7 linked regions of the Oryzias latipes genome follow. The protein of the gene in region 3 interacts with the protein of the main gene of each other region in a pairwise test. Links are inferred from orthologs where the notes say so. Each region holds a gene or a part of one and is shown on either strand. Other genes may lie near its edges. The genes, in order: paf1, necab2, fragile X mental retardation syndrome-related protein 1, pts, c17h1orf35, rabac1 and zmat2.

Region 1 (3,098 bases), on a different chromosome or scaffold from region 3:
ATCAAGAAATGCAAATGAATACACACCAGTATGGTCTTGTTTAGCTTATTAAAATTGATTGTGTAGCTTAAGTTTTAGAGACTTGGATCAAATCTTTTTTTCAGTTACAGTACATGCAGAAATTCAGTTCTGATGTGTAACAGCATTGTAGAAATTGCAAGGGAATGCTAGAAAATTTGGTAAAGGTCACGCTGGTGTGTGTATATATGTGTGTGTGTGTGTGTGTGTGTGTATATATATATATATATATATATATATATATATATATATATATATATATATATATATATATATATATATATATATATATATATATATATATATATATATATATATATATATATATATATATATAAATATCTTGGTAAATCTAAAGATGTTTTTTTTTTTTTTTTTTTTTTCCTTTCTGCCACAGATCGCACAGCACTACAGTAAACCGAGAGTTACTCCTGTGGAGATATTGCCAGTTTTCCCTGACTTTAAAGTGAGTTTTACCACAAGATGAAATGCAACAGTTAATATTTTGGTAATCTCTTTTGAACATTTAAAATCACTTGCTGCAAAAGGAGAAACTAGAACAACTAATTAAATAAGATATGTGTATATATAGGGAAAAAAATAAGAAATGGTCTGTCCATGTTTATGTTCTTTTAATGATTTGTATGCATTGTGGCTTTCCTCAGATGTGGATCAACCCATGCGCTCAGGTCATCTTCGATTCTGATCCAGCTCCTAAAGACATATCTGCACCAGCAGGAGTGGAGATGATGTCCCAGGCGATGATTAGGTACATTCAGAGTTTTTATCCTGATGGTCTCTTTATGAAACATAAACAAACAATTGTTTTATGATAGAGGAATGATGGACGAGGAGGGGAATCAGTTTGTAGCCTACTTCCTGCCCCACGAGGAAACACTTCGCAAGCGTAAGAGAGACTCCGAGGAGGGAGTGGAATACATGGCGGATGATGTGTAAGTGGAAGAACGGCATTGTTAAAAAACATCTAGATGTTGTTCCAAAACAAGATCAATCTTGAGACTTTTTTCGTTTCAGTTACGACTACAAGATCGCGCGAGAATACAACTGGAATGTCAAAAACAAAGCCAGCAAAGGTTATGAGGAGAACTACTTCTTCATCTTCAGAGATGGAGATGGTGTTTATTACAACGAGCTGGAGACCAGGCGAGTAGAAAAATCTCAACAAATTCCTTTCCATATATTTTTAGTTAAATGTAAAACTTGTATCACTTGGCTGATGTAGAGAAAAAGTAGGGCAGGATCTTTGTTTTCCCAACAGGTTAGAGGTTCGATAAACAGTTCAGTACTTGTTTTTTCTTAACTTTAACTTTGACCTTTAGGGTGCGGTTGAGTAAGAGAAGAGCCAAGGCTGGAGCACAGTCCACAACAAATGCTGTGCTTGTTTGTAAGCACAGAGATATGAATGAGAAAGAGCTTGAAGCTCAGGTAAGGTCCTTGCTCCGTTTGTTTGTTTGTTTGTTTGTTTGTTTACACACACACATCTTTCAGAACAGCAGTTTATTGACAAAGGATCAGGATTTTTATGTTGCATGACACAAATCTCTTATGAATGATGTCGTCTTCATCATCAGGAGGCACGTAAAGCTCAGCTTGAGAACCATGAACCTGAAGATGAAGAGGAAGACCTGGACAAAGACATGCAGGACTCTGGTAAAGTTTCTTTTTTTTTTAATCATGCAAAGGATTCTGTAGTATTTTTTGTAACAACTGCTTTATTTTGAACTGTAGGAATTACTTCAGTTGCAATGTCAGTCATTTTTTTCATTGTTTTGTGTTTTTTTCTTTTAGGTGATGAAAAAGAGAAAGGAAGTGGCAGTGAGGCAGAGAACTCCGGCAGTGAATCTGAGAGGGAAGACGAAGAGCGGGAACAGAGCGCAGAGGAGGACGAGGACAACGAAGCCAGACGGAAAAGGCGGAGGAAGTCCAGTGGCAGTGCCAGCGAAAGCGGCGAAGAGAGGACCAGGGAGATGCGAGACGAGGAGGAGATCTTCGGCAGCGACGACGACAGCGATGACAACGAGCCCAAGAATTCGGCCAGAAGCAGCGGGGACGAAGGCAGCGATAGCGAGGAGGAAGGGCAGAACCGAAGGGGCACCAGGAGTCGCAGTGCCTCTCCAGCGCCCAGCAACCACAGCAGTGACCACTCCGAGGCGCAGGCTCAGAGTGGTAGCGGAAGCGAAAGAGCCTCCGACTCCAGTGATGCCAGTGACAGTGATTAAAACCTGCAGGCTGAAGAGCAAACCCTTTGTTCTCTGTGTGTTTGGGCTGATGGAGCTTATATGCATGTGTCCTTCCTCTGTCACCGAGCACAGTCGCAGAATTTGGCGCTGGAGCTCCATTAGTGTAGCTCCTCGCATCTTTACATAAGATTTTTTCTTGAATCCACTTTTTTATCCCTGAGATTTCACTTGGGTTACATTCATTCATTATCTGTTTGTACGCAAATCCTTTGTTGCTTGACCTTCAATGCAGCATAAATTTGTTCAATTTGATTTTGACAAACTGATTTCAACTCAGGCATTGAAACTGATAATAAATTACTGGTGACATTTTCCAAAAGTCTTGATTATTTTTTCTTTTTTTTGGAAAATACAACACAATCGAGCAGAACAGCTCATGACATCAATGACATTTGGTTTTAGTTCATTTGGTTTTAGATTTACAAGAACTTGACGACAAAAAAAGAAGAAAATATGAAGTTAAACACTTTAAAGGTGATGGAAAACAAAGTGGTTTAATCACTGATTTTAATTATGCAACAAATAAAAGTGGTAGTTGCGGTTGACAATGATGCTGCCAGACGATGCAGATTCAGCGAAAAAACGCCAGCTGGTTCTTCAGCCACTCTTCTGTCAAGTCATCGACATTTCTGGTTTCAAAGACCTTCCAGAGCAAAACAGTCACAAGTTAGGTTCATGCAACTGCACGTCAAACCAAGTGAAAATAGGAATTACATGTTATAGTTCTTGCAATTATACTTGATATTGCAAGAGTCAATTTGTTTAGCACATGAATGTTTCTTGGACTAAAAGAATAAAAGCTGAAATCTGAAAAAAAAA
Region 2 (4,290 bases), on a different chromosome or scaffold from region 3:
CTGTTTGCCTTTTAGATCGATAGTCCGGATTTCATCGTGACCAAAACTGTTGTTGCTGCTCCGGGCCTCCAGGTGGGGTCAGAGGTCAGCGTGGAGGTTTGCTTTGAGCCTCATCAGCTTGGCGAAGTGAAAACGGACCTCAGTCTGTCCTCTGGGATTCATGGAGAGTACATCTTTCCCTTACATGGGGTCTGCCTCCCCCCTAAAGCTCAGGGTCCACTCAGCATTAAGGCAGGTCACAGCATCACAATCCCCTTCAAGAACGTGTTCCTGCAAAGCATTACATTCACTGCTCAGGTAAAGAACAGGCAGACCTTGTAAAAGGAAGTCTTCATATTAAGAACTATGACCTGTTTACTTTCAATAGAAGATTTTTTTAAATTATTCATAAGGGCTGCAGCAGCACCCAGCTCATTTATATTTAGCACAGTGACTTACAAAGTGCTCCAACCCCACTTTACATCTAACTTTTCTATTGTTATGCTGCTTGAGTTGCTGGATTCCCAAATGAATATGCCTGTAAATGTAGTAACCTGAAACTGACTGGATGTTCTGCTGCTTTAGGTGGACAACCCCTGCTTTACTGTCAAAGGACCAGACAACATCAAACCAAAAAAGATTCACAACATCCAGGTTTCCTTTGAAGCTCCTGATGGAGAGCCTGGAAGGGAGGCCTGGTTCGGAAAGCTGACCGTTTCCAGCGAGCGCTGCGAGGGACACAGCAAGCCTTGCTCATGGGTCTTTTACCTGAAAGGATCCCAGTGATCATAAATAACCACAACAGGAAGCAGCTGATCCGTTTTTATTATTTAGTAACTGTTATATATGAATTTAATTAGAATGACGAAGCTGCAATACTTTAAAGCATAAACATTTTCTAAATGACTTAATAAATTCTACAAAGTCCTTCCTGTCGATGCACTCTCATTTCCACAAGGGGGCAGTAATGTCAAGTAATCTGATCAGAGTTCTGCTGCTTGTCTGATGGAGGAAAGACACATCATCCTCCACAGCTGTTTTGTCATTCTGTCAACTTTCCTGCAGGACCTCATTTGTCCTGATCTTCTTTTTGTTCCGTTAACTCTGGAAAAGGGCAGACCTGGTGGAGTCAGTCATTACTAAAGGTTAAATCTGTCACATCACTCATGCAGGACACCCTCTAATGAGAGGAGCTGCGTGAGGAAAAACTCTCTGATGCTCCTTCAGGGATGCAGAAATCCTCCCCCTGGAATACAGCCAAAGGACAGAAACTGTTTGCGGGATGAAACACCCACAAAATATTTTTTGAAAAGGAAAAAAAAAGTTCTGACGTGCATTTGAAATCAGCCACATAACGCATGATCTGCAAAAAAAACGCGCATGGAAAGTGAGAAGTTGAAGCTTCCACAAGGTTTTCTGTCTCCTGAGTGGGTTTGCAGGGAATGTGGGGTGGGTGTGTTTTGGGGTGGGTGTGTGATGTAAGGAGGGAAGTGGGGTGGGTGGGGAGCTCCTCTCTCTCCCCCATAGAGCGCAGCATGAGCGCTCCGCAGCAAAAGGATGTGCGAGCAGGCAGCGCGTTACTGTAGGGACGGAGTCCACAAACTGCTCAACAAAGAACAAGCCAAACTCCGCGCGCAGGAGAGCCGCGAGCAGCCCAAGCCTTCAGCCGGTCAGGACAGCGAGTCCGCGACGGCAGCGCAGTCCGGAAACAGCGGCGCCCAGCCCGGTGGAATCGACGGGCTCGTCCGCTGGATCGTCACCAAAATGAGCGACAACAAGAACATCTCCAGCCGGGAGTACGCCTCCAGCAAAGAGGAGGTGGCCGTGGCCCAGGAGCAGTTCTTTGCCCCGGAGCCACGGAGAGGCATCTCGGTCATTCTGGATGTAAGTATCAGGCTGCATGGGGGGGTTGGATGCGCAGGATCCAGGGAGCGGTGCGCGCCGTGCGCACTTACGCACAGACAAGAGCGAGGAGTGGAGACTTGGCAGGAGGTCTGCTGGTTATTTGACACTTTGGTGGGTGTCCGGGATGAGGCTGGCGCCTGAACTCTCCACTCTGTCTGCATCCTCCACCAAACCGCCTGAGCTGTATTCAGTTTATAAACTTCGAAACAGATTCCTTAAAACAACAACAAAAATCTATTCATCAGTCAGTTAGATGGTTCACTGATCCACTTTTGGCGCAATCTTTAATATAGGTCAGCTCATCAATACCCGCAGATCGTTTGTCTCCCCCTGAGATCTTCTAGTCCGGCCTTAATAGAAGACAAAACAAAAGAGAAACTAGATCAGCTTCTGCAGATGACCTGAATAAAGTTATGACCAGAGGGCCAATTCAAATTTCATGTCACATTATTCTAGATTTTCAAAAAGTTATTTCTTGAGAGAATCCCTACCAGCAAACTAAAATTGTGTGTTTGGATACATGAAAAGATTCCTGATTTCTCTCCTGTTTTTGTTGTTCATTATTTCTGTCGTTTTGTATTTATGCCTCTCAGTGACAGTCCGCTTTGATCTCTAAGCCTGCAACTCTTCCTTCTCTGCAGGATCTGACTTCAGCTTTGAATCATTTTAGCATTTTCTCTCCTTCTTTTGCACATCACCCCGAACTCTAGAATGTTAATGATTTTGCCATGTTCCACTCTTGCTGACCCCGTCATCATTATCATGGTGGAGAAGTGAACATTTGATTTGCACGCTCACACCTGCATCCAGCTGTCTTTTTTTCTCCTACGGTCTGCTCTTTTCTTCTTCCCCTCCTTTCCTCATTTGTCCTTTCCTCCTGTTTTCAGAGAAATCCGTTTTAATAAGGTTTCAGGCATCGTCCGGCTTTTTCCTGTTTATTCTTAATTTTAAAGAAATAGTTAAGCCCTCACAGTTTTGCTGGTCCTCTGTGCTGTGAGCCACCGCCTCCTTAACGCGACACTCTTTTCCAAGCTCCTCTGTTGCTGGCTCTTGTTTGTGGGGCTGAGTTGGCCCCATGGGTGCATTAGAGGAGCCGAACAATGCAGAGCTGCTTGTCATCTGAAGCACAGCTCAGTTTGGCACCAAGGTTTTGATCTGTTCTACAATGATGCCTCCAAGACTGCACATCTTATTTAGAGCTTTAGCTGCCATAATGCAAAAACCTCTTAATGAGTTTCACTGCAACAGAGGAAGGAAATAATTAAACATAAAACAGCTTTTATGCAAGTTTTTTCTGCAAAATCCAGAAAAAGGAAACATTTTGATGAGAGATTCCATCAACACCAGTACTGTTATTGACAGAAGTGACTAGAAAACGATCATATTCTCTCATTCATATTTAAATAAAACCAATAAATTATTAGCAGCTTGTCTGTTTTGTACCCTTTTAGACATTAGAGGATCACAAAAATCATCAACGAATGAAGGAAGTCTCCATTTAAGAAGCATTGAAGCTTTTTGCTGCAGTTCTGTCAATATTTGGGCTCATTTTTGCTTCTTTAGAACACACAGCTGTGATGCAGCAATACCTTGTCTCTTTGGTTACAGAATTCAGAAACAACACAGGGGTCCTTCTTACTGTATTGTTGTGTTTTTGCAGCTGATCCTGAATAGAAAAGTAAATAGGAAAAAAAAGATGACGCAGACAGACGAGCAGACAAGTTCTTACATTAAAAGTAAAAAATGCTGCAATCTGGATCTCGTCTTTATGAGCTGTCTTCTGTCCGACCTCCAGTTCCACATCCTTGTGTTTCTCTCCTTATCAGAAGTTCCAGTTCTGAGCCTTTCACTTCCAAACAGGTCAAAGCTTTTACTGCAGCTATAAATTAGCTCAATGTGGAGCATGCAGTGAGTCCTCATCAGTCTGGTGGACATCATCGGCTCTGTGCTGCACCTTATCCCTCAGCCTCAGTGTGAACTGACAAACAGAAAAGTCTGGGCACTGAATGTTGGCTGACCAGCCGCTAATTACAATCCAGATTCCCTATTTCTACACAGAATTAGTCACTCCTCGAAAAAAAAAAAAAATCACAACATTGCATGTGTTTTACCATCTGTCAGCTCTCTTCTCACTGTGGCAATGAGGGGTAAATCGACTTTCAGCATCATAATCTGAGGGTGTTAAAGTTGGATTTAAACAGAAATAGGTCCAAAGTGTTTGAGTTTTAATCCATACCTTTATTGGATTAAAACATTCCTTGGACAGACTAAATGTCTAAAAGCTTTCACCTACTTAAATCTGTAAATCTGTTGTATTTTCCATTACCCAGAAAGCACGTCAAAGTCCTTCTGGGAAATGGAAATATACTTTGGTTTTCCTTGAAGCTGTTCAGATAACACTCACAC
Region 3 (3,500 bases):
AAAGACTTCAGGAAAGCCATCGGAGCAAACTGCATCTTCTACAGCGCGCCAACGCACGAGCTCATCGTGTTGGTGAGTTCTGCCGGCGAACGCTCGGCGGCCCGTCTCGCCTCCGTTCCTCTGCCAAACCTCTTTGTCTCGGCAGTCGACCAACGAGACGACGGTGAAGCGGGCCACTCTCCTGAGCGACATGCATTTCCGTAGCATCCGCACCAAGCTCATCCTAATGTCGCGAAACGAGGAGGCCACCAAACATTTGGAGGTAAACCCCCCTTTACCCCCCATCCCAGTCAGTCTTTCAGCCTCCCGCTGGGGCAGTCGACCCGGGACGGTCAGCCGGGACAGAAATGACTCTATTGTGTGCCGTCCGCCTTTTTCCAGACCAGTAAACAGCTAGCAGCCGCGTACCAAGAGGAGGTCAGAGTCCGAGAGGACCTGATGGGCCTCGCCATCGGGTCTCACGGCGCCAACATCCAGCAAGCGAGGAAAGTTCCTGGTGTCACGGCCATCGAGCTGGAGGAGGAGAGCTGCACGTTCAGGATCTACGGAGAGGTAAGCCCCATTCCGGAGGAAATCGGGGCTCATTTGTCCCGGTGAGGGGCGTCATCTCCGTCTGCTGTGCCACAGACCCCCGAGGCGGTGAAACAGGCCCGAGAGTATCTGGAGTTTAAAGAAGACTACTTCCAGGTGCCCAGGAACCTTGTAGGTGAGTGAGCGCCATGTTGGTCGGACTAGAGGCGGGTTTACCGGTCACCTCCGCTCGTCCCGCACGGATGGTCACGACGGCTTCGGCCCCTATCTCTGCCACACAGGCAAAGTCATCGGAAAGAACGGCAAAGTCATCCAGGAAATCGTTGACAAGTCGGGCGTGGTCCGAGTCCGGATCGAGGGAGACAACGACAAAAAGCTTCCCCGGGAGGAGGTAGGCAGGCAGGGGGCCGGCAGAGACGACACTGCCGGCGGCGGCAAAGAGGTGAATGCACCGACCGACCGGCCTCCTAATCGCTGCTCTCCACTCAAAAAGCTCTGTGGCTGCAGAGAGTTTTTGTGTTTTTGTGCTGTGTGTTTCGGCGCCGTCCCATCCTGCTGCCGACCAGCCGTCCGATCGGCTTTGCTGTCTGTGACGCGTCGGCGTTTCTCGCTTTTACGGAGGCTCTGCTTTCTGCTCCATCAGGGGATGGTGCCCTTCGTGTTTGTGGGAACCAAGGAGAACATCAGCAACGCCCAGGCTCTGCTGGAGTACCACGTCTCCTACCTCCAGGTGGGTTCAGTTTGCCCCAGAAGAGGGCACCGCTGCCACCGCTTTAGCCACATTTACCCCATTTATACCCCACGGTTCAACACACGGCTCTGGCGGCGATGCCATATGTGAAAGCTGCTGAGAGAGCCTCATTTTGCCCTGACCTCATGTGCTTTTATTAATAGCCCCCCTCAGGGGGGTGGGGGTGAAGGGTACACCGGAGTATAGATTACCAGCTATCTGGACCCTTTAAAAATAACATCAGGCCCCCTGCCCTGCCTCTCCTCCTTCGCACCTCCCCTGAGCTTCAGCTGTCATTGGTGGAGTCAGCTGTCATACTGTGAAGCAGGACCCCCACCACCCCCACCCCCACCCCCGCCAAGAAGCTGCCCCCGTCCACCGCTGCCATAAAACCCTGCTGCTCACTTCACTCATCTGAAGACACGTGAATCTAAAGACAAAACCACAACCCCAAATGACAGAAGTGCTCCCTGTAACCGTCTTTTAAGCCCATTTGTGGGAGGGGCTACAAGGTCACGTGTCATCCTCAGACAACCAGCAATGTAAACATCCGAGCTGCTTCTCCATACAAACAAAATTCATTTTTCTCTCTATTCATTCATTATTATTCCTTTATCATTCATTCAGTCAGCAGTGACGTCAGAAAAGTAACGGTTCTCAGCTCACTGAGTCTGAGCGTCAGTCTTTACCGACACCTAGTGGTAGAAAGGTGAACTGCATGGCTTGTTTTCTGACCCGTCTCACTGCATTTTTGCAGCGCTGCATTGTTGTGCTGCAACGTTTTGGTAAAGGTTGTTTTAAGCTGTCGTCGTTTTCTGTGATAATTTCAACTACAGGCAATAAGTGGACAGACGCTTTTTAAAGCATTTCTTACCCGGTTAACAAAAGTGCGGTTTTACTAGAAATTCACTGGTTTGATGAAATTCCTTTTTAAACTCTAACTTATGTAAAAACAAAACAAACCTTTTTTTGTCAGGTTTGTGCTGGAGCCTTGGTAAAACTTGGAACACTTGTATGCCAGCAGCATTCTTAATACAATATGCACAAAAATGACATATTACATTTATGTGAAAAAGTTATAGTTTCACCAACTGAAATTTATTGATTAAAAAATGTTTTAGTACCAGGAAAGCAAGGACTTTCGGTTCAGTTTTATTTAAATTTGAGGATTTCTCTTAACTGTAGCCTTGATTCCTTTTTCTGTTGGGATTTCACATTTAATCTGAACTTCTATTTTCTTTGTGTTCTTTGTGTCTAAAATTGAATTAATCATCAACACGTCATTGCTAGAAAACAGCTGTTTCAGTTCAATCACTTTGACTAAACTCTTGTATTTTCGTCTGTGAACAGAACAGATCTGAATCCGAATACTTAACTGAATAAATTATATATTTATTGTCCGTATTTCCTCGTCTTTATCAGCATCGTTAGTCGACTCTTGACTGCGATGACTTGTGTGGCTTAAAAAAAATATTACCAATAGAACCTGAACTTTGTTTTGTTTTTTTAACCCAGTAATGGGAAATTCACGTACACAGTAAATCCACACATAAGATAAATGTTCACACACTTGTAAATTCATGTTTACAGACTGGATAAACTCACATCTTCATAGGTTATTTCACTGCAATCACAAAGTCAGGTTTACAGACGGTAAACCCGCATTTACAGACGGTAAACTCGCGTTTAAATGCGGTAAACTCGCGTTTACAGACGGTTAACCCGCGTTTACAGACGGTAAACCCGCGTTTACAGACGGTAAACCCGCGTCTACAGACGGTAAACTCGCATGTACAGACGGTAAACTCGCGTCTACAGACGGTAAACTCGCGTCTACAGACGGTAAACTCGCGTCTACAGACGGTAAACTTGCGTCTACAGACGGTAAACTCGCATGTACAGACGGTAAACTCGCGTCTACAGACGGTAAACTCGCGTCTACAGACGGTAAACTCGCCTCTACAGACGGTAAACCCGCGTCTACAGACGGTAAACCCGCGTCTACAGACGGTAAACCCGCGTCTACAGACGGTAAACTCGCGTCTACAGACGGTAAACTCGCGTCTACAGACGGTAAATTCGCGTCTACAGACGGTAAACTCGCGTCTACAGACGGTAAATTCGCGTCTACAGACGGTAAACTCGCGTCTACAGACGGTAAACTCGCGTCTACAGACGGTAAATTCGCGTCTACAGACGGTAAACTCGCGTCTACAGACGGTAAACTCGCGTCTACAGA
Region 4 (2,423 bases), on a different chromosome or scaffold from region 3:
ATCTGCTGTTAGGTTCCACGTGTTATAAACATCACGTCCTTTTTCTCCAACCCATAATAGTAGATAGCTGCACTTATCTGCCTCATCCTTTTCACGCAGAGGTCCGGTGAACATCAGCTCTGCATGCTGTCGGAATTTCCTCCACGCTTCTGGAAGGTTCGAGCAATCCCAGTCCATCCTCGGGATAGGAACGCCGTAGGACTCCATTTGTAGACAGGGTTGACAGAAAATCCGCTATTCTGACACCATGTAATGTTCTTGGTTAAAGAACTTTGATTTAAATTGAATAAATCACAATCCAGGCCGGGAAACTGTCACATTCACTGTTTTACTTCCACCATCTTGAATCTCACACCTATTCCACAAAATCCCGCGAGACTAGGTATCTTATCAAATCACAGTGACACCTAGTGGTCGGAATATTACAGTTTACATGTTCAAGCTATCATATGATTAAACTGAATCTAAACCCAAGAATCTGCCTCTTACTGTTTGAATCTGTTCCAGCGTTCACCTGAGCGACGAGGAGAACGCAAAGGTTTATGGGAAGTGCAACAACCCCAACGGTCATGGACACAACTACACAGGTCATTGTGGTTTCCTGTAAGCATGATGGATGTAAAGTCATGAGTCTGCTCACTGTGGTGTGCTTTCTTTCACAGTGGAGGTCACCGTCCGGGGAAAGGTGAGCATGTTGGAATAACACACAAGAGACCAATGAAACCCTGTTTCTGATTGACATCAAACCTGTTTCAGATTGACCGCGTGACCGGGATGGTCATGAACCTTACAGACCTGAAGAGGTGCATCGAGGTGACTCCATCTTTACCTGGCCGTCTTAAAATGTTCTTTTTAAAAGAACAAACTTCTTTTTAAGGAACTTTTTTTTGCCTGTTTCCACCTACAGGAGGTCATCATGATTCCTCTGGACCATAAAAACCTGGACAAGGACGTTCCTTACTTTGCCACTGTTGTGAGGTATGAAACTTTCCAAACTTTTTTAAACATCTTCTTTTATTTTCTTAGTAAGATTTCTTTGTCTTTGTGCTCCCGGATTCTCAGCACCACAGAAAACCTGGCTGTTTACATTTGGGACAACATGGTGAAGGTCCTTCCCCCCGGTCAGCTCTATGAGATCAAGATTCATGAGACGGATAAGAACATCGTCGTCTATCGGGGAGAGTAAACTCTGCTTTCGCCGCCGCAGAAGTGCTTCGGATCTGTTTGCTGACTCATCCCGGCTGCTAACTCGGGCAAAAAAAAAAAATCCTTTTTTAAAATTATTTTTTTTGAGATCCACATCATTTACATTCCAATAATTGTGACACAAACCCAATGTTTTATTTAGTAATTCTGCAAATACAGAAAATGAACTCTGTGTTTACATCAGTACTGAGGCAGGGGGCGCTGTGACTCACAGACAGAGTTCCTGCCTCTGTAGGTTTCCAAGATGGAAAACAATAAAGTATTTATTGATTCTGCATCTTCCTGTCAGTTTGCGGGACTCCATGATTGAGAACAGTTCGGTCCGGTGCTCATTTCTCTGATTTTTTTTTTTGTGTTCACAAATATTTACAAGTCTACAAAGACTTGTAGCCCAATCCAGGTCCTTTTTTTGGAGCGATCCGCAGAGGTAGTAGGGCTGCTATTGGTTCTTGTTTTAGACTGTTTCCCTCAAAGAGCTTTCTTTCACTGTCGATGACCTTTGTCTCCCTGTGACCAAAAGCCTCTGCTGAACATTGGATGAATGTAATTTTCTCTGGGCTCATCCCAGTCCTCTGTAATAGCGCTGCTTTTGAGTGCTGTTGAGCTTAAATGACCTGTTGAGCTCTCAAGCTTTTTCTGTCTTGTTCAGACGCCAATAGTTTCCATTTCTTTCTTTAAACCTGTCATTTCCGTTAATAAAAATGCTGTGATGTTGTGCTTCTGTAGTGTTCTTCAGTAGTCTTGATGCTTTTTTTCTGTGAAACTTGACAGTGCAGTTCTCATTTCTGCTTCTTTTGCTGTATTTGCTAATATGCTTCACTGTTAAAAAAAATGTAAAAGTGCGAAATCTACCTTCACATTCTTGTTAATTTAGAAAAAAATCAGGTTTTCTTATTGGAAAAAAGCTCGAGTCTTTATTTTTTTGTTTTGTATGTGTGGATAAAATATCGGTTACTGATGAAGTTCATTGATCATCTGATCATCTCCAGATATTGGACAGAAACGTGTGTTGGCGCTAATAGGTCACTAGGGGGCGCAGCTTCATTTCAAATCAAACTTCCCCAGCTTGGTTAACATTCAGGATCAGAAATTTTCACTGGTGTTTGTTTTTTATTCATACAAACAAGACAGTTTGTTTTAAAAATGAAATTGAAAACTCTTTAAATGTTTATTTTGTGCATAATTCAAATTACACAATGATCCCTAAAAAGCTGGGT
Region 5 (4,004 bases), on a different chromosome or scaffold from region 3:
CTCCGTGAACCAGAAAGGCTGAGCGTCACTGTCAAATTCTATTGGACATTTTTTTAATCTACATTTCAGTTTACATGACAGTTTGGTTAAACACTGTTAACACATAACTAGTGATTTAACCAAATCAAAACACAACTTTCATTAATTCAATGAGAACATTTTACGTAAAAAATTGACAGAAAATGTTTGTTTTTTATATAAAATTGATTAAAATGAGATGTTATCAATCAATGTTAAGTACATGTTCTAAGAGAAGATCAATTGATTATCCTTAAGAAAACACACAGAAAATACACATGTATTGCATTACAGATGTCCTGTTTACTTGAATGTAGATATTATTGTGGCAAAGTAATAAACTGATTTTATCTCTTGGGTTTGACGGTTTTCTGTTAATTTATTTCTTTAGTATCTCACTGGTTGGTTAAAAATATAATATGTTAAATGTCTGTTGTGTCAAACTGCACCAATGTTGTTTTGCTCCGAATAAATACCATTTAAAAATGCTCAACAGATTATCAGACTTTTCAGTAAACCAAAACCTAAAAAATTGGTTCCAACTTAAATGTTTTTTTTTGTTTTTTTTTTAATATTGCAAGGTATGTAACATCTCACAGATATAAGCTTATATTCTAATTCTTCAAAATGCACATTTTTAGTGACAAATGGTAGAAAATGCATTAATTTGCATGAATAAGCAAACTGGATATCTTATAAATATTTTTAAAAAAGAAGAAGAAAAAAGAAAGACAATTTTGTTAGTGATGTAATTTTTCTCCCAAATTACATTTTACAAAGGGTTTCCTAATTTAAGTTGACATTAAACAAAATAGATGATACTGGACGTTTTTATGCTACTATCAAAAGTTGTATCATCCATCTAGGATTTATATGCATCCTGAAATAAAATAAAACACCGGTTGACTTCTTGGGCACCATCTTTTCCTGTAGCTCCGTGACAACAAAGTGTCTCCAGGAATGAATAGTGGTTCCGACACAGAGATGGGAAAAAGAGAACAGAACAGCAGAAGGAGGAAAGGAAGTCAAAAATCCTCATTCCTACCTGAAAACAGTCTGATAAAATGTCTCATGTACATCGGGAGGCAGGTTTTTCTGATTCTGCAGACGGTCCTCGGAGCATTTTCTGCCTCCGCCGCCCTTTTCCTCACCGCGAGACGCCTACGTCATCACTACGTACCCAAACACGTTACGTCCGCGCGCGCCACTGGACGCGACCAAATGAAATAAACAAAAGGAGCAGGAAATGCTCGTTAGTCGGGAAAAAAGTTGTATTGCTTCTATTTGCAGTAGTCAGATCTTTATTGCTGAGGATTACAAATCTACCGTTTTAAATTTTTTACTTAAATAAAAAAATTGTTTGTTGGGTCTTTGCAACTTTAAGCTGCGCGCGCGAGAGTCCAGCTTTAACGCTCTGCTCTTTGTCGCGTTGTTGGGTTGTTTGTTTGTTTGGAAGTTGCTGTCGAAACAAACGCAGCCGTGTGGGTTTCTTTCGTGGAAACTGGGAATCTAAACTTCCTGGATGAGTCCACGCTAACGGCCCGCACCGACCACGCAGCTCTGCTAACCAACGTAGCTGCTAGCTAGCTAGCTAAGTGTTACTTTTCCCCCCCGAATCTCCACTTTTTTGCCCTTTTGAAGATGTTTGGTTCATCGAGATCCGGAGGCATCCGTGGAGGCCAAGACCAGTTCAACTGGGATGAAGTGAAGGTCGATAAACACAGAGAGAATTATCTCGGTAAGTCCATAACGTGCAGTCGATTACGCTATCAGCGCGTGCCACACATCCAGGAAAGATTAGCTCCAGATGCTTTTAAACCCCGTGTGGCCCCCCTAAAATTAGGTTGTTTTCCTACCTTTTGTTATTGAATTCCTCATTACACAAGGCTTGGCTTGATCTAATAGCTTGATATCAATCCCGATTAATCTCCGTAAAGAAAGCAAAAACGTGCTGTCAATGCCTCCTCTGGTCGACACGTTCGTTGTCTCTGTGCCCTCGCCGCTGCCAGCGGGTCAGCATGCCCAGAGAGAGCTACGTAGTGATCACCACAGTAGTCGGGACCGAGAAACATGTAACAAAAGCAAATCGACAAGCTCTCATAGCTGCTTAGATTTCTGAATGTTGTCTGTGTAAAATATGAGCTAAAACCACAACCTTTCAGGTGCAAAGTCAAACAGAAATGAGGCTCAAAACACCCACCCTTAACATGGCAGGAGACTGTTGCCTTATGTGTGGATTGCCTAAATACTTGGAATTAAAAAAACAGTCTAACAACAAGACTGCACTTGTCTATAATGAGATATTCTAAAAGACAAAGTTTACTCAGCTGGAGGAAGTTTAAAACATTGATCTGATATCAATTTTACAGCTTATATTGCACACTTGTATATACTGTTTGTTTGTTTGCTTGTTTGATTTTATTATATTACAATGTTATCTTTACTACTTTTCCCTTCCTTACTGTTCTTGCACTGATGGTGATGCTTAAATCTCATTGTACTATGCACAATGACAATAAAGCCATTCTATTCTATTCTATTCTATTCTAATTTGATTCTTACACTTGAACCTTTATGGGGGAAAATGCAAAAGGATACATCTACTGGAGAAGTCTGGACTGCTAATATTTTCATTTAAATGTGTGTAACCATGATCATCTTTAAAAGTCAAATAGATTTATTGAAATGATTATTTGGTGCAAAACATTAAAACATCTAGATAAAAGAAAAAGTCTAAATATAAAGTATAACAATCCTGCATAATACATTTTGTATTCTGAATTTGTGGCATTTGAAATGTAGAATTTAAAGAAGAACCTTTACCTAAATAGTTTGACCTCTTCTGCGTTTTTTCCAGGAAACTCCTTGATGGCTCCCGTAGGACGATGGCAGAAAGGGAAAGATCTGACCTGGTATGCAAAGGACAAGAAAGGTGGTGCTCCTTTGTCCAAAGAAGAGGAGCTTGCTGCAGTCAGAGCTGCAGAGGAGGAGGCACTGATGGCTGCCCTGTACGTGCGACTTCCCATAAGCCATTTCCTGTACCTTCTTGAAGATTAGGACACAAAAAGTGATGCTTTGCGTTTCTTGTTCTGAACTTAGAGGCCATAAGAATATAAAGAGACAACCAACAGGGCTTACTAAAGAGGTATGGATACGTTGCTGGTCAATATTGGAAAAATTGCTGTCAAGTCCTGTAAGTTGAATTTGATTTTTTTTTTCAGGATCTTGTAGAGGTATGCCGGAGAGAAGAGGTTGATGGTGAAGAGAAGGATGTGGATCGTATCTCAGGTTTAGGAAGCTCAAGGTGAGATTATCTTCTTGTCTGTGTCATAAAACAGATTTTTTTTATGCAAAATGTTTGCTTTAGGAAAATTTCAACTTTTCTTTTTCTTATTATAAATGCAATTTGCTTGAACAAATGTACAGAAGTTATGTTTAATTGTCCAAATGACAAATGGGAGTTTGTTAATAGTTTTTTTTTTTCTAGTTTATACACTAAAATGAGTCAAATGATTTGTTAATCAGGTTGCTGGTGAATAATATTCTTGGATATTTCATGACTTTTCTTTGCAGTTTTAGGTTTGGCAGAATTCAACCTTCTGTTCAGAGGAGATAAGGTGACTGGCTGTCTGTGGTTTGTTTAAGTTGACTCCATCTTTATTTCCCTCTAAAGTGCAGGGTCACGAAAAATGGTGCTGTCCCAAAAGGAAAAGGAGGCGGCTAAAATGGGTCTGCAAATTTTTACAGTAAGTCGTCTTTCTACATCATCCATACTGCCATTTGGAAACATTATTGTATTAAAACAGCATTTTTTAATTGTCAAAAATTAGTAGTAAATATGTGTTTGATTTTTAATTTTTTAACTATTGACTTTATTAGCATTAGTTATTTAGCAATATTGACGAGGGTTGAGTATGGCAAAAAGAATGAGTCGATTCAGGACTATATGATTAAATATGAATCACTTAAACTTACAAATTTGTTTT
Region 6 (4,218 bases), on a different chromosome or scaffold from region 3:
GTTAAGGCACTCTGCTTCATCCCAGTATAAGGAATTCTTCAGTGTGCATTCAGGATAATTCATTGAAGCCATGGTTTACCCCTTTTTTCCAAGTTTCCCACTCAAATAAAACTGTGGAGTTTAGGGGAAAAAGAAAACAAACACAAAAAAATTACTTTAACCATGTTTATGTTTGAAACTTGAAACCAAACAAATGGTATCAGGTTCCTTAATTAATAATTTCATTTAAAAAACGTAACAATTTGAAGGCCCCACTCCGATCATCTTTTAAAATATTTTCAAAGCGTTCCCCGTGTTGTTTTCTAGGAAGGTTTCTGCATAGCGGCAGGAGTTAATTAGAAATTAACCCCCCAGAGTCGTGGGCAGGACTGCTGGCATGGAGTTAGCCCCCCCTTACCACCATCCCTTTACACACTCGCTTACAGCCCCTCACAATCACAACTTCCACTGCACATTAGTGGTGCAACAAAAATTGTGAACAATATTGGAGCTATCCAACCGTACAGTTTTGAGCCAGATGGCAGCTCAGACGAGGAAAATGAAGCCCAAATGTGTCAGAATGAAGCATCAGAATGGAGCAGTGAGGGAGCTTGGTTGGTGTAGTAGCTTCTACGTCACACTTACACGTTTTTTTGCAACAGCTTTTTGCGTCTAATTCACATCAGTTTGCATAAAGAAATACTCAGAAATGCAATTCTAAGCTAAATTTTCATTTTCATCGGAGTGGGTATTTTAATTGTAGCTAGTAGTTGTCATGTTAAGTCTTTGTGTGTACATTGTGTGCCACAAACGAACACTCACTATTTAAGATTTTCTTCAAACTTGCAAGCAGCTACCACCTATAATGAAATGCATCGAGATGTGTTTAATTACTGTCATATATGCCTAGCTACAATTGCTAATGTTATCTTTACCGACTCGGTACCGTTCCTCTGAACAGAGTTATGTAATCAGTAGGGTGGGGGACAACACATACAAAACACACAGCTCTTCAATTGTTCGATTAAAAACACACACACAGGAGCTCGTTGGCAGTTATACTTCACGTAACACCACGCAAAATTAGCAGAAAAACAATTCTAGAGACAAATAAGACGGTCTATTGTTTGTTTCAACGACGGTCGGTGCGACGACATGATGATGAATCCCGCTGAACTTATTAGTCTAGCAGACGCTAAGGCGTCAACTAATACAGCGTAACGTTAAACACGCGCCTTTAAAACACTATTAGGTTACATTTTCCACAAAGAGAATATTCCTAGAGTGCATTAGACCTCACCTTTCAGCCGCGATAGCTTGCCTGACGCTGGATGATCTAGCAACTTCCACAATGCAACGTGCGACGTGACAGTGGCTAGACGTGAGTCGTAAATTGACCAATCACAGCTCTCGGGCTGGGTTTCATAACGTAAGGTCACGTTTTTGCCACACTTAACATACCGATTGTTCCCAGATTGTTCCTAAAAGAATCAAGGTAGTAATCTCTGTCACTTTGGCACTAAAAATGTTTTTTGATTTCTTGTCGACTTCAAAGTTAAATAGAGGAATGAATAAAATATTTTTATATGGTTAAATGTAAGGGAAAAAATAACATCATAGACTGGGGAGTTCTTTGGTGCAACCAGCAGGGGGCAGTGTGCGGCATTGGTGTTGTAGGAAGTTCTTTTCTTCTTCTTCTTCTTCTTCAGCCACATCACATCCGTGAGGACCAACAGCAACAAAACAACTTGGCTTTTTATCCATAACTTGGTCTGTAAGTATCTACATCGTCTGTAGGTTTGACATTTGACACATCACGAAGGTAAAATCTTATGTCTTTTCATTTCAATGTTTATAAATTACTGTGATCTTCGTACAATCAGTTTGATTTAACATGAGACACGAAGAAGTAGGTAGTATTCATTTTATAAAAGTTATTCCACTTATAATTCGACACATATGGACAAATTTGATCCTTAAAAGATTTTTACTTGCTCAAAATGTCGTTTTCTGGCTCAGTTCTCGGCCTTTGTCAGTGATGTGGCAGTGACCAAGCCCTGTTGACAAAAATTTTCCACTTACGAGATCCGCTCCTATGTTTCTGGCCAATCAGGAACAAGTTTGAATTAAAATCTAACCTCTATGCTCTTAAGAATAATGTGGAAACTAGTGATCATGTAGTTTTTCTTTTGTAGTTACTGCTGTTTCTCCATTTTAAACACATTTTATAAAATATATCAATTGTTATTTACCTTTAAAAAATAAAGTAAACAGGTTTTCCTTTCCTTTTTCCTTTTTTATTTATTTATTTAAGTTTGCTTTTGATGCACCTCGAGGAGTGTTACAAAAATCGTAAAGATTGTATGGTTGTATGGTGTATGGTGTTTTATTTCCCATTTAAACAGGGGAAAATAAAGAAGAATCCAGAAAAATTCTGACATGTTTTATAAAGGATACATATCGTTTGTACATTGAAAAATACGAGGAAAAATGCAAACTTCCAATAAGACAATCTTTTTTTTTCTTTTTTTTTTTTTTAAATTAACTTTAGAAGCAAAATGGAGAAACTAAACAAAACAAAATCTTTAAACCACTTGACAAACCCAATGATGTAACAACATCCCACATGCAAACTTGGCATGCACTTATCTGCATGTTAACAGTAAACAATAGGCAAAAAAGGAAAAGAAAAGGAGTCAGATCTTTCCTGAGCTTCTATCTTCCGTTCATTTGTTTACTCAGTTACCCATTGTAGTATTTGGGTATATGTCTTCAGTCATATGTATATATTTTCTATTTTATGATTTTCTATAATTATTATTAATACTTAGGCTCTTCATTAAACAACCTCAAACTCAAAAACGTTAATATTCTTTTATCCCACTTCATCTCTCGTAAAAAACATCTATCTCCATATAAAGGAAGGCCATTTTTCCACACAGTTTTTGGACTATTTATCTTGTGCTGATCCGAAGAAGGGGGAAAAAAAAGTATGTGAAGGAAAAATCTTAAGACTATTTCTTTTATTTTATTTATTCTATTTTCTTTTATTTTCAGGAGAAGGTTTGCAGATGCCATCTGGAGTACCAAAGGGAGAGAACTGTCAAGTGGACATGGACAGCAAGGCTGGAGATCTGTTTACGGCTGAAGATGCTCACCCAACTGGCACGGGTGGAGCTGGAATCCTTTCAAAGTACGAGTCAGTTTTGTTTTTTTTAAAAAGGAGTTTAGTGACCCAAACAACTTTCTTCGGTGATGGACGTGGACATTAAACAGCGTTTGTAGAAAAACCACAGCAATGGTGCTAAGGCTCTGTGAGTTACTGTCTTTACACATCCACTTTTGGGGGTGGAGTTAGTCCTAAATCCTCATCCTCCTGTTCTGTAGACTGTGCCTCATTACTTAAAATTTTTTTTTTTTTAAAGTTTTGTTTTGTCAAAGTTTCTAAGAATTTCCTTAATCAAACTACAAAATACTTTTTTGTTTTGCTCATATTGTCAAAAGTTGTAATGCATTGACTTTTTCCTTGAGAGTTTGTACGCTTTATTACCATTTTACCTTTATTTTGTAGGCTCTGGCTCCCTAAAGGCTTCTCTGCCAGCATGGCCAAGGAGTGGATTGATAGGCGCCGATTGTCCATTCGACCGTGGGCCAGTTTTGTGGACCAACGCAAGTTTTCAAAACCACGAAACTTCGGAGATGCATGCCAGAGAGTGGTGAAAAATGTGGAAACTTACAACAGCAACTACACCTTCATCTTCCTGGGTCTCATCCTGTACTGCATGTAGGTGTAAACCTGAGTTTGCTTTGGCCTTACCTCAAAACATTATTGAAGTTTTATGAAATAACAGATGCAACACTGACTGCACACACTAAGGCCACCGGGATTGAGAAAAGAAAAAGAAAAGATTGAATCAGTAACAGCATTATGAGCCTTTTTTTTTTTCTTTTCTTGTCAGTATAAGCTCCCCTATGCTACTGATTGCATTGGCTGTGTTTCTTGGTGCCTTCTACATAATCCACCTGAAGTCTCAAGAGTCCAGACTGGTTGTTCTTGGTAAGTAAAACAGAAAAACTGCTGTCCTTAACTTGCCTGAAAGTGAAAAAACTTTTTTTCAGAGTTTTTTTCAGCCATGCATGAAATGGGAGAATCTTATAGAAAGCCACAGAGAATTATGTTTTCATGTGTTTGCCAACTTTGTTTTTTTCCAGGCAAACAGCTTAATGTCCCTCATCAGA
Region 7 (4,174 bases), on a different chromosome or scaffold from region 3:
CTAAGATCAACCTCTACCAGAGTATGGAGAAGGAAAGGAACTGCTCATGATCCTAAGCATACCACCTCATCAGTGAAGCATGGTGGTGGTATTGTCATGGCGTGGGCATGTATGCCTGCTAATGGAACTGTTCTCTTCTATCTATTGATGATGTGAACGCTGACAAAAGCAGTAGGATGAATTCTGAAGGCTTTTGGGCTCATGATCAGCCAAATGCTTCAGTGGACGGCGCTTCACAGTGCAGATGGACCATGACCCAAAGCAAACTGCAACCGCAACTAAAGGCCTTCTTAAGGGAAAGAAGTGGAATGTTATGCAATGTTTCACTTGCTGAAGACAAAACTGAAGGTAAAATGCCCCAACAACAAGCAGGAACTGAAGACCGATGCATTGGAGGCCTGGCAGAGCATCACCAGGGATGAAACCCAGCGTCTGGAGATGTCTGTGAGTTCCAGACTTCATGCTGGAATTGACTGCAAAGGATTTGCAACCAAGTATTAAAAAGTAAATGTCTGATTTATGATTATTGTTCTGACCATTACTTTTGGTTCCTTAACAAGTGGGAGGCACAGATGCAAACTGTTGTAATTCCTACACAGTTCACCTGATCTGGATGGAAATACCCACAAATTAAAGCTGACAGTCTGCAGTTAAAGCACATCTTGTTCGTTTTATTTCAAATCCATTTTGGTGGCATATAGAGTCAAACATGTTGGAATTGTGTCGCTGTCCCATTATTTATGGACCTGACTGTATAAAATGATCCACGTTACATCTGCGCTCTTGGCCCCTCCCTAAAGCACAGGTGTACTTACGTTTCTTGCCGTTGATGTGATCCAGAAAGTTGATGGAGTCTTTGACCACACAGTCACAAACATTGCAGTAATATCTGAAAAAAAAAATATGTCGGAACCAGAACCCAGACCTGTCCGTTTCTGCTCCACAACTTTTTCTTATTGGTTCAAAGAGTTTCAGTTTTCCATTTTTCCAAACCCAAAGCCGTCAGGAACTCACCCGCCCATCTCCGCCTGAGGGGTGGTCTTGGTGATGACAATAGTTTTCCCCAGTTTGGACTCCAGATCCACTTTGTAGTCTCTGTGCCGCAGGAGCTCCCGCTTGACGGGAGGGACAGGTTTTCCTGAAAGAGCCAACAGGTCATGCGTCAGGGGTGATAAGCGATTGACCCCCAAGGGTCCCCAAAGAACGGAGAGCGCTGCCCTCACCATCCCTGAGCTCCCGCTCGCGCTCCTCGTTCAGCCGCTTCTGAGCGAGATTCTCGTACTCGTCCTTGTCCCATTTCCGCCGGAAGTCGTTCTTGCTGGACTGGAAGACACGAGAAGATGACTCAGAGCGCCTCGATTATCTTCACATCTCAACAAACATTCAGCTGATGAAGACGAGGAGCTTTTACTCCTCCTGACAAAAGAGCAACAGCTTCTCAACTCAACTTCATTGATAAAACTCTAAAACAGAACCACAGAGACACAACAACAGAGAAGGAACAAAAGCAGGAAAGCCTCATGCTTCGTCAGAAGAATGTTTAAATGCAGACGGTGAAGATGCCTGTTGGACTGTCAGAGCTGACGCCTTGTGCACCTTCCAAGCTCAAACAGGAGGAGCTGGCTCTTCCCAGAGGTTCCTCCTGGATCTCTGTCCCTCCAGGGAAAGATATGAGCTTAACCGAGATTCCAAAAGCTCAGAGAGGTATGGATGAACGCACAAATCATGGGGAACGTGTGACCCATGATTTATGCGTGAGCCATGCTGCTGCTCGTATTTAATGGTGTTTGGGAAAAGGGCTGTTCCTACTCCGTGACCCGAGATAAGGGGAGGGCTCAGGCCGAACATCCAGCTGACGGGAAGCATCCATGTTGGATAAACAGATGAGTCCAAAGAGATCCTTCATAATGAACATTAGATTTTTCAGAAATCTCCGTTCAACAGCCTGATCCTGGCTGCAGCTGCAGCCTGAAACTGATCAGCTCTCCAAATGCATGGTGCCGTCAGGCTCCAGGGGGATACGCCTGCTGGTGGAGCTGTGCTTACAGGACAGGAAACCCTAAGTCACTCTAGACCAGTGTTTTTCAACCTTTTTTGAGCCACGGCACACTTTAACCCTGAAAAAGATCCCGCGGCACACCAGCATCCAAAAAAAAAAAAAAAAAGCAGAAATTCATGGTCTGTATTGATCGACAGCTCTTCCCTTTCATTCATATTATCAAAGTAAACATTTTCAACAGGGGTGGGTTTATAAATTTTATAATATAGCAACAGAAACATTGTTTCATATTTGCAAAAACCAAAAAGGACATTATCCTTATTATTACAGTTTCATTTATTATCATCACAGTCGGCTTTACGAAATAAACTTCAAGAGCTTTTATTTTGCCACACCGGAATTCGTTACACCTTTGAATTAGTCCTTTAAAGATAAAAACTAACGGCGGTTGAGTCAAAACGTTTTTGGTACTAATTTTTTTTTTTTTTAAAAAGGGCCGTAAAATTCTGCAAATAAAGTACCCAAGCGTCAGAGCGAGTTAGCCGCTGCTAGTCCGAGGCCGCGCTTCTAACGGCAGCAGCTGATGTCTGTAACGGTTACAGTCAAAACGCCTCCACGGTACCAAATATAAAGTGAAGAATTTTAATCTTGTTTATTGAATTAAACTGTATTACAACAAACAGGGGCAGAGAAATTCTGCTTGGAAACTCACCCCACTGCCGGACGCCATCTTGTTTACCTACGGAAAATACGTCACCGGATGTTGCAGCTCGTCATTGCTAGTTTCCTGTCTAAATTTAGTTCTATCGGTAGAGGAGACATCACGTGATTCCTCAAGGGGGGAGAGCATCGCCATCTTGGTGAGGTCAAATTACTGCTGTAGTGCATGCATGTGAACACATTTCTTGCAAAATACCAGTTCATTTTTCGGGTTTCAACTGCCAAAATCAGAGAAATGAGTCCACGAAGGAGGAAGGCATAACATTTCACAGGTAAGTATTATATATTTTTTTCTTTTAATGCTGCAGGGGCATCATTAATCATACACATGTTTTCATGCATGATGCTGCAGGGCGATTATCAACATGTAGGCATGATGTACGTATAATTTGCTGTCGATATAAATGTAAACTTTATTGTGTTAAACCTGTATACATTATACTAGGCTATTATAGTAATAGAGATTTATACATTTCTGACTCAGTGACTGAAATTTTATTGCAGGTTTCCAATGGATTCAGACTTAAGGAAAAAGTGGGCCTTAGCAATAAAAAGAGCTAACCCAGATGGATCACTGTGGTACCAACTAGTAATACAGTCTGGCTATGTTCAAAACAATTTGAGGAAACAGATTTTGATGAGACTGGCCAGACTGTTAGCTTGAAACCCGACACTAAACCAACTGTGTCACACAAATTTATCACTAACATGAATCAGGAGGTAAATCTATTTCTTTTCTTTGTTTTTTTAAAGGGGAAAATCTGTTGTTGACTTTTGGACTTTTTGTTGACTTATTATTGATTTATTATTATCATTTATTATTATTTACCTATTATTGATTTATTTTTATCATTCAATATTATTATTGACTTACTATTGATTTATTATTATTATTATTTATTGATTCATTATTATTATTATTATTATTATTATTATTATTATTATTATTATTATTATTATTATTATTATTATTGACTTATTTATATATTGTTATTAATTATTATTATTATTGACTTATTATTTATATTTGTTATTTATTATTATTATTGACTTATTATTTATATATTGTTATTATTTATTATTATTATTGACTTATTGTTGGGCTTTTCTAAATAATTTCAATTACATGTCAAAGAGGTCTAAAACTTGGAAATGTTTAAAAATTAAAAACAATGCATTTTTCATTAAAGTTTGAACTTTTAAAGCTGACTGTTTCTCTTATTTAAAAGCATCAAATGATGTATATATATAAAAATTATATACATTTATCATGTGTTTATTTATATGTATAAATATATAGAAATTTGAATAAATATAAATTATATAAAAGCTACTTAGATGCTACCAAAGGCTAAAGAAATCATTGTCATGTAGGCGTCGTTGACCTCACCAAGATGGCGTTGCGTTCCGCCACCGTCGGCCAGGCTTCCCAAGCGGGCGTGTCTCCTCTAGCGA

Evidence for each region.
Region 1: the proteins of fragile X mental retardation syndrome-related protein 1 (region 3) and paf1 interact in binary tests that used the Homo sapiens proteins (3 or more experiments, as listed by UniProt). The two-hybrid records come from large-scale screens. The link is inferred for Oryzias latipes from reciprocal best matches to the Homo sapiens genes FXR2 and PAF1.
Region 2: the proteins of fragile X mental retardation syndrome-related protein 1 (region 3) and necab2 interact in a two-hybrid assay, tested with the Homo sapiens proteins (2 studies listed by BioGRID and IntAct). The link is inferred for Oryzias latipes from reciprocal best matches to the Homo sapiens genes FXR2 and NECAB2.
Region 4: the proteins of fragile X mental retardation syndrome-related protein 1 (region 3) and pts interact in binary tests that used the Homo sapiens proteins (3 or more experiments, as listed by UniProt). The two-hybrid records come from large-scale screens. The link is inferred for Oryzias latipes from reciprocal best matches to the Homo sapiens genes FXR2 and PTS.
Region 5: the proteins of fragile X mental retardation syndrome-related protein 1 (region 3) and c17h1orf35 interact in binary tests that used the Homo sapiens proteins (3 or more experiments, as listed by UniProt). The two-hybrid records come from large-scale screens. The link is inferred for Oryzias latipes from reciprocal best matches to the Homo sapiens genes FXR2 and C1orf35.
Region 6: the proteins of fragile X mental retardation syndrome-related protein 1 (region 3) and rabac1 interact in binary tests that used the Homo sapiens proteins (3 or more experiments, as listed by UniProt). The two-hybrid records come from large-scale screens. The link is inferred for Oryzias latipes from reciprocal best matches to the Homo sapiens genes FXR2 and RABAC1.
Region 7: the proteins of fragile X mental retardation syndrome-related protein 1 (region 3) and zmat2 interact in binary tests that used the Homo sapiens proteins (3 or more experiments, as listed by UniProt). The two-hybrid records come from large-scale screens. The link is inferred for Oryzias latipes from reciprocal best matches to the Homo sapiens genes FXR2 and ZMAT2.

The regions. Positions count from the first base shown.
Region 1 is NC_019871.2:11,070,354-11,073,451, forward strand, and holds the end of paf1 (RNA polymerase II-associated factor 1 homolog), read left to right. Parts: intron 1-415; coding exon 416-484; intron 485-683; coding exon 684-787; intron 788-854; coding exon 855-971; intron 972-1,053; coding exon 1,054-1,182; intron 1,183-1,358; coding exon 1,359-1,464; intron 1,465-1,610; coding exon 1,611-1,689; intron 1,690-1,827; coding exon 1,828-2,258; 3' UTR 2,259-2,598; downstream 2,599-3,098. Other genes in the region: glia maturation factor gamma, read right to left, coding at 2,851-2,922. UniProt on the Homo sapiens protein: Component of the PAF1 complex (PAF1C) which has multiple functions during transcription by RNA polymerase II and is implicated in regulation of development and maintenance of embryonic stem cell pluripotency.
Region 2 is NC_019864.2:24,684,458-24,688,747, reverse strand, and holds the start of necab2 (N-terminal EF-hand calcium-binding protein 2), read left to right. Parts: upstream 1-1,490; 5' UTR 1,491-1,536; coding exon 1,537-1,863; intron 1,864-4,290. Other genes in the region: hydin (hydrocephalus-inducing protein homolog), read left to right, coding at 16-297, 565-765. UniProt on the Homo sapiens protein: May act as a signaling scaffold protein that senses intracellular calcium.
Region 3 is NC_019876.2:28,860,591-28,864,090, forward strand, and holds part of fragile X mental retardation syndrome-related protein 1, read left to right. Parts: coding exon 1-72; intron 73-145; coding exon 146-262; intron 263-381; coding exon 382-552; intron 553-627; coding exon 628-706; intron 707-812; coding exon 813-973; intron 974-1,174; coding exon 1,175-1,261; intron 1,262-3,500. UniProt on the Homo sapiens protein: mRNA-binding protein that acts as a regulator of mRNAs translation and/or stability, and which is required for adult hippocampal neurogenesis. Specifically binds to AU-rich elements (AREs) in the 3'-UTR of target mRNAs.
Region 4 is NC_019877.2:21,056,526-21,058,948, reverse strand, and holds the end of pts (6-pyruvoyl tetrahydrobiopterin synthase), read left to right. Parts: intron 1-507; coding exon 508-587; intron 588-662; coding exon 663-685; intron 686-756; coding exon 757-813; intron 814-907; coding exon 908-978; intron 979-1,062; coding exon 1,063-1,186; 3' UTR 1,187-1,923; downstream 1,924-2,423. UniProt on the Homo sapiens protein: Involved in the biosynthesis of tetrahydrobiopterin, an essential cofactor of aromatic amino acid hydroxylases. Catalyzes the transformation of 7,8-dihydroneopterin triphosphate into 6-pyruvoyl tetrahydropterin.
Region 5 is NC_019875.2:27,890,663-27,894,666, forward strand, and holds the start of c17h1orf35 (multiple myeloma tumor-associated protein 2), read left to right. Parts: upstream 1-1,204; 5' UTR 1,205-1,659; coding exon 1,660-1,756; intron 1,757-1,874; coding exon of another isoform or gene 1,875-1,896; exon of another isoform or gene 1,897-2,196; intron 2,197-2,841; exon of another isoform or gene 2,842-2,875; coding exon 2,876-3,026; intron 3,027-3,117; coding exon 3,118-3,163; intron 3,164-3,239; coding exon 3,240-3,322; intron 3,323-3,691; coding exon 3,692-3,764; intron 3,765-4,004. Other genes in the region: guanylate kinase, read right to left, coding at 1,064-1,097.
Region 6 is NC_019874.2:20,935,573-20,939,790, reverse strand, and holds the start of rabac1 (prenylated Rab acceptor protein 1), read left to right. Parts: upstream 1-1,418; 5' UTR 1,419-1,474; intron 1,475-1,688; 5' UTR 1,689-1,753; exon of another isoform or gene 1,754-1,801; intron 1,802-3,036; 5' UTR 3,037-3,050; coding exon 3,051-3,172; intron 3,173-3,550; coding exon 3,551-3,763; intron 3,764-3,938; coding exon 3,939-4,036; intron 4,037-4,191; coding exon 4,192-4,218. Other genes in the region: dedd2 (DNA-binding death effector domain-containing protein 2), read right to left, coding at 1-72. UniProt on the Homo sapiens protein: General Rab protein regulator required for vesicle formation from the Golgi complex. May control vesicle docking and fusion by mediating the action of Rab GTPases to the SNARE complexes.
Region 7 is NC_019872.2:3,288,058-3,292,231, forward strand, and holds the start of zmat2 (zinc finger matrin-type protein 2), read right to left. Parts: upstream 2,801-4,174; 5' UTR 2,730-2,800; coding exon 2,712-2,729; intron 1,324-2,711; coding exon 1,224-1,323; intron 1,139-1,223; coding exon 1,015-1,138; intron 890-1,014; coding exon 816-889; intron 1-815. UniProt on the Homo sapiens protein: Involved in pre-mRNA splicing as a component of the spliceosome.